Macaca fascicularis: one gene and its partner. The protein of the gene in region 2 purifies or fractionates together with the protein of the main gene of each other region. This does not show direct contact. Links are inferred from orthologs where the notes say so. Each region holds a gene or a part of one and is shown on either strand. Other genes may lie near its edges.

What was found. The genes of interacting proteins can lie anywhere in the genome.
Region 1: the proteins of SEM1 (region 2) and RAD23B purify together in Homo sapiens (co-immunoprecipitation; 3 studies listed by BioGRID and IntAct, with this or other methods). This does not show direct contact. The link is inferred for Macaca fascicularis from reciprocal best matches to the Homo sapiens genes SEM1 and RAD23B.

What each region holds. Positions count from the first base shown.
Region 1 is NC_088389.1:50,789,521-50,793,176, forward strand, and holds part of RAD23B (UV excision repair protein RAD23 homolog B), read right to left. Parts: intron 365-3,656; coding exon 251-364; 3' UTR 1-250. UniProt on the Homo sapiens protein: Multiubiquitin chain receptor involved in modulation of proteasomal degradation. Binds to polyubiquitin chains.
Region 2 is NC_088377.1:124,618,049-124,621,804, reverse strand, and holds the start of SEM1 (26S proteasome complex subunit SEM1), read right to left. Parts: upstream 2,702-3,756; 5' UTR 2,619-2,701; coding exon 2,543-2,618; intron 1-2,542. UniProt on the Homo sapiens protein: Component of the 26S proteasome, a multiprotein complex involved in the ATP-dependent degradation of ubiquitinated proteins.

The sequences.
Region 1 (3,656 bases), on a different chromosome or scaffold from region 2:
GACCTGCAAAAGCTGATTTTTTGGTTGTATATATTTTACACACTGTGTGGAGTTGCGGCATCTGCTAGTTGAAGCAGACATGCACTGTATTTATCCCTGCCCTATATCCTAGATCCCTCCCTCCCCACCCCCAACAATCTACTACCTTATACCAAGTATTGTGGATATGAGCCCAAGTCATCCCAGACAATCCAGTGAACAAGTTAGTGTAATGCACTGGTGTGAAGTGTGAGATATAAAAAAGTCCCTTTCAATCTTCATCAAAGTTCTGCTGTAGAAGAAAATTGGCAGCCAAATTCTCATTCTTCTCACAAGCAAAATATGCTTGTATCACAAGTCCTTCAGGAAATCCTAATGCCTTTAACTGGAAGAAAAAGGAAAAAAATATAAATCCAACACACCAATTATGGCACATTTAATTTACTTACATATTACAGATTCCAGCATAGCACTAAAGACAGATCATTACTCAAAAACATACTGCAACCCAAAAAAGCTTTTGAGAATTTTACATGAATTCATCTCTATCTGAATATGGATTTACTGCCCAACCCAAGCGGTTTGATGGAATCTAGACCCTTTCCTTTACTAATCGCCTAAAAAAGTCTTTGTTTTCTAGTTAAAGCTTAAGAGATACTATGCAAATACTCTTTGGCCTAATTAAACATTAGTTGCTAATTGCTATGGTTTAAAAATAAATGACTACAGAAATGTGTAAATCAAATGGTTTTTAGTATATTAAGAGTGAAGATAAGGATGAGAGTACCTGGAGTATAGCTTAACCACCTCATCTAATTATTTGTAAATTAAAAGCAAATGTTTTATTTATTAATGCCAACTAATGTCTTTCATTTGGATCAAACATCACTCTCAATCTCCTTGCTTTATTCAACACTCCATACTAGAAAACTAGGTGACCAATTAGTAGTAATAACACACGGTACATTTTGAAGTAAAGACAGTGTTCTATTTTTATCTGCTTAACAATCACAGCATTTTAAATGGTAATACTAGCTACTTAATTTCATTTTCCTAGTCTATTAAAAACCACTTGTGACAATACTCACTGCTTTTAAAAGCCTTTAAAAACTCAGCCAAATGTCACCTTCCTCAATTGTCTCAATCACCTTGAGTTAGATCATGTGTCCCAAATCCCCAGACCGCAAACTGGCACCACCCATTGGCCTGTTAGGAACTGGGCCGCCCAGGAGGTGGTGAGCAGTGGGTGAGCAAGTGAAGTTTCATCTGTATTTACAGCTGCTCCCCATCACTCGAATTACCACCTGAGCTCCGTCTCCTTTCGTATCAGCGGCAGCATTAGATTCTCATAGGAGCATGAACCTTACTGTGAACTGTGCATGTGAGGGATCTGGGTTCTGTGCTCCGTATGATAGCCTAACAAATGCCTGATGATGTGAGGTGAACAGTTTCAGCCCCAAACCACCACCCCGCCCCACTTCCTAACCTAACTAATACCTGATAATCGGAGGTAGAACAGTTTCATCCCAAAACCACCGCGCCCACTCCACCTCTGTTGGTAGAAAAAAAGGTCTTCTACAAAACTGGTCCCTGGTGCCAAAAGGTTGAGGACTGCTGTTAGATTATATTCGGAAATGACCCTTAAAATTTGGGCAAAAATCCAAATTCATCACGAATAACTACTGATCTATGAAAGGAGAAGAAATTAAAAAATCCGTTTGTTATCTGGGTTTTATCCAGATTAAAGCTAGGATAGGTGAAGTAAAGGGTATAATCCAACTGCCTGCTTCTACAAAACACACAATTTAAAGATTCAAAAACACAATGATCGAAAAAGGTATATACCATGCAAATGGTAACCAAAAAAGAGCTAGAATGACTATATCAGATGAAACAGATTTAAGATAAAAATTGTTACTATAAACAAAAGGCATTTTATGATAAAAAAGGATCAGGAAGACACAACAATTATAAACATATATAACAGAGCCACAAAATACATAAAATAAAAACTGAGAATTAAAGGTAGAAATGGTAATTAACAATAATAGTTAGAGAAATCTATAGCCCCACCTTCAATAATAGATAAAACAGCTAAGGAAGAAGACTTGACTACAAACTAGATCTATCAGGTATTTATAGACCACAATAAGAACTACATTATATTCTTCTTCAGTATACATAGAACATTCTTCAGAAATACCATGTTAGGCCACAAAACGAACCTCAAAAAGTTGAAAAGTATTGAAAGTATATTCTCTGATTATAATGGAATGAATTTAGAAAAGGAGATGATGTGGGAAATTCATAAACTTGTAGAAATTAACACAATCCTAAATAACAAATGAATTAAATTAGAAACCAAAAGGGAAATTGAAAAATATTTTGAGATTAAAGAAAGCAAAACAACATACTAAAACCTATGGAATGCTGCTATAGCATAAACACAGAAGGAATATTATAGCTATAAACATCTATCCTAACAAAGATAGATAATAATCTAATCTAAAACTAAACAAAGAAGATCTAAACTAAACCTAATCTAAAAATGGAAGAACAAACTAAAAGCAAGCAAGAAGGAAATAAACATTAGAGAGACTTAAAAAAAAAAAAAAAAAAAAAAAAGACTAGAAAAACAATAGGGAGAATCAACAAAACCCAAAGTTATTTTTGTCATTAAAAAAAAAAAAATCAACAAAATTAAAACCTTTAGCTAAACTGAAGGGAAAAAACAAAAATCTTAGGACTCAAATTACTAAAATCAGGAATAAATGCAGGAATATTACTACTTTAACAAAAGAAGAAAATGATTATAAGGAAATATGTACAACTGCATGCCAACAAATTAGACAACTCAGATAAAATATACAAATTCCAAGTTAAAAACCACCAAAACTGACTCTAAAAGAAACAGAAAAGTAGAATAGACAAGTAACAAGAGACTGAATCAGTAATCACAAAACTTCCCAAAAAGAAAAGCCCGGGCCCAGACTACTGATGAATTCTATCAACTGTTCAAAGAATTAACACCAATTCTTAATAAATACTTCCAGAAAACAGAAGAGGAGAGAATAAATCCCAACTTACTCTAAGAGGCCAGTATTACCCAGACACCAAATTCAAAGACATCACAAAAAAAACTACAGACCAATATGACTTATGAACAGATGCAAAAATCCTCAACAAAATACAAGCAGGCTAAATCCAGCAACGTATAAAAAGGATCATACGTTATGACCAGTAAAATTTATCCCAGAAATGCAAGGTTGGTTCGACATACAAAAACCAATCAATGTAATAAAAGCATACTAAAGGACAAAAATCACATGATTATCTTAATAAAAAAAGAAAAAAACATTTGACAAAATCCAACACCTTTTTCTGATGAACAAACTAGGAATAGAAGGGAATTTCTTCAATCTCATAAAGGGCATCCACAAAAAACCCACAGATAACATCATACTTAGTGATGAAAGACTGAATGCTTTCCCCTAAGATCAAGAACCAGACAAGGATGTTGTTGGTTCTTGCTAGTCTAATAATATACTGGAGGCTCCAGATAGGGCAATTAGACAAGACAAAGAAATAAAAGGTATCCATATTAGAAAAGAAGTAAAACTGTCTCTATCTGCAGATGACATGACCTTGTATATGGAAAATCCTAATGAACACATGCA
Region 2 (3,756 bases):
CATGGATCACATTTTGAATAGCAACAGACTCTAAATCTTGACTAGACCAAAACATGTCAGAAATGCAGATTCTCAGAAAAGGAATAATTATTTGGTGATATTTTCCCAAGTTTGTTCTTCTTTAGGTTTTGTTATTCATCAGAACAATTTTCATGAGTAAATATTGAGTGGTTTCACCTTGTGGGCTGATTTTCTCACTAACTTAAGAAAAACCTCTCCAAATCATAAACCAGAGAAGAGAAACTTGAACAAAATAGACATTAAAAATGTTTCTCATTCTAAAATGGAAAGTTTCCTGAATGAATTAATTCTACACATTTATATCTGAAGACAACAAACATTCTGTAAGGAGACCCATAAATGGTCAATAACTTAATGTTAATAAACCAGTCTGTTGTGAGTCTTTTGTCCTTAGAATATTTTCTTTGCTTTTCCTTTTACCTTTTTGTTTTGTTTTACTATGTAACTACTGGCACTTCGAAAAATTGCTGCTCACAGCATAAACTTAGAACAAGCACAAACTACACTAGCAAAAGCTGATGAAAGTTGCTGAAAAAAATCAAGTGTACCATCAGGTACATAGTTATCTCTAGATCGTTTTTAAGCAGTCAATTATCAACTAACTACTCATTTTAAATGCGGGTTCATTCATCATTCATTCAACAAGCATTTACTGACCACCTACTATGTATTAGGCACTCTGCTAAATACTGCGGATAAAGTTTGGATCAGAGAGACAGACCTTTCAGATTCTGGCTTGGACATAATGGCAAGTTTTGTTTATTTGTTTTTCTTTTTGTCTCTGAGCCTCCATATTCTCAGGGTGATAGTGATAACTAGATTATATAATGTAAATAAAGTGCCTAACATTCCACCCTGTATATGATAATGAACAATGTTATTTGAAGTATGAAGTTTGAGTAAGAAGATCCTACCTTCAATAGGCCAGCTTTCTATGACACAGCTCTATGTTGGCAGATTATGACGCAACTTGAAAGTGAGCTAAAGAAAACATGACTGAACAGATAAATCCATTACCAAAACAAAAAACTAAGAATGCCTACAATACATAATGAATTCCAGAACTGAAAAGAAATGTGCTTTGGGTTAGTTTACGAGTTTCTGTAGCATGTACACTAATGTTCTCTTCCACTAAACAAAGTAACAGTACATTATAAATAGAACAAATGTTCCAGCTATGTGGTTTTACGTACAATAGGATCATGATAGGGTATACAACTTGGGACAATTTTAGTGAAGTAGTAATTGCTTGATGCAGCAGGATGTGTACCCCATTAACCACAATTCTCTTTCTACCACCTTCAGAAAGTAATCTCCTTTTCTTATAAGGTAAATATTTACAAGTCCTACTCATCAACCATTAGTCAATAAAGCAGCCTATTTTGAAAACCCAACTGGTAACAGCAATCTCACAAACAGAAGCAGTACAGCTAAAGTTAAGAACTTTGGTGTCAATCAGAACAGGTGTCCCAATTCCACTTCTATTGTTTCTAACTAGTTATGAGACATCAGGAACGTTTCACTCTGAGCTTCAGTTTATCTAAAGAATGGTCTAGGGCATACAGGAAGTAGGCCCTAGTGGAATTTATGAAAGTGGAATATGCTATTACAAGTAAAGCACTTAGACAAGTTCCTGAAAACAGCAGCCACTCAAGAAATGTTAGCAATTTGCTATTACCTACAACAAAAAAACTAAAGGTCTTTAGTTTTGAAACTAAAAAAAAAAAAAAAAGTGTATTTTTAATTGAAAAAATATATTTTTAAAAATATATATTTTATTTTTGTAGGGACAGGGTCTCGCTATGTTGCCCAGGCTGGTCTTGAACTCCTGACCTCATGTGATCCTCCTACCTCGGCCTCCCAAACTGCTGGGATTACAGGCCTGAGCCACCATACCCGTCAAGTTGTAGGGTCTTATAAAGCATTAAGTTAGGTCACAGTTAAGTGACAAAAATGGTGAGGAACAGGAGTAAGGCAATAATGTGTATTAAGCACCCAATATCTTACCCTTCTGTCTTACTTAATCAGGCTTCATTTGTAACATCCTAAAAGTTAAGCAGCATTGGCGTAACTACAGACAATTCAATTCTGGAAAGGTTTAAAGGCAAAGAAAGACTGTTAAAACAAAAAGAAAAGAAAAGAAAAGAAATTCTAGAAAAGAAAAGAAAAGAAAAATAAAAGGAAGTTATGTAGACTTGAACTAAAGTTTAAGTGGTGAGTAACCCAGAGGAACAGTAAAGGGACCAACCATCCCAGACGCGGGGCTATGGGTCCAGACTCACGGTGGCTCCTCCCAGTACGGAAGCTGAGGCCATTGGGCCTCGCCAATGAGTCCCAGCGCGACACCCCAAACCCGACGCTGGGGCGCCACTGAGGGATGAGCGTTAGCGCCTCGAGTGCCGGCCCTGGGAGTCCAAACTTCCCGCCGGTGCCCCCAGCTGGGCCCGACCGACCAAACCACCTCCACACGGAGGCCTGAGTCACCGTTCGCGCGGCACAGAAACCGGGGCACAGCGGTTACCTTCGGCCGGGAACTCTTCAAACTCGTCGTCTTCCTCTAAGAGACCTAAGTCTACGGGTTGCTTTTTCTCTGACATCTCGACCCTCCGCGCCCAACACCTCCCAGATCAGCAGGAAAGTTGGAACCCTCACTCTTCCTCAAGGAAACGCCACCGTCACTGCCGCCTCCGAGGCTGACGCTACCATAGAGACTCGGAGAAGGAACTACGGGAGCAGCGCGAGGAATGCTGGGATACTGGAGGTCGGCCCAGCGCTCCCTGCGGGTTTAGCGCGTTTTCCGAGTTTTTTATATATATATTTATTAAATATATATATATATATTTTTGTCTCTACCACGTTAATCGGACTCTCTGAATTGCCAAAGTTGGGATCCGTGTAGTTTTCCTGACTATAAAAGACTCATAATGTGTAAAACAAACAAAAAAGCCTTTACTTAGTTTGCAAGCGAGGAAGGAACTCTAGAGAGACTACAGTCTGACTACAAGCATTCATCAGCCCTTCACATACATTATTACCTCCAGTCCTTAAGCCAGTTCACTAAGGATGGTATTAAATGTCTCCACATCACAGAAAATTCACGTTCAGAAAGAAGCAACGGAAATTACTCAGGTAGTGCTAGACAACCAAAATGCAGATTTTTTTTTGCCTGGCTCCAATCTCCAGACTTTTCCATTAGGCAGTGTTAATCAAGTCTTAGAATTACTTTGTGGTAAATAGCTTTTTAAATAGAATTTGTGTGGTGTGTATGTGTGTGTAGTAACTCTAGTTTACAGGTTATTATACAATAATACTATTTAAATATGGATTTGTGTAACATTTTATGGTGCTAAAAATATATCATTTAAAATTGAATAGCATTTGAATATCATTCTGAATACAGTAGTGAACTTCATGGAACTCTATATATAATATATGGATGTATATGGATGAATATTATAGAATATACATAATACACAAATTGGGTATTATTGTAAATTTTGATACATGTTCCAGATTATATCTATAAATCCCATTCCTTTATTTAACAATGTTAGGTCATACCGCTTACCAGGAGCTGTGTATCAAACATGTATAGACAAAGTCCCTTTCTTCAAGAAGCTCATATTCTACTCAGAGACATGTAAACGGATAAATCACAATGAAATGCAGTAATCCACTTCAATCTCCATCTTAATATTATGTGAGAAATGAACAGAGTGTTTGGGAATGCAGAAA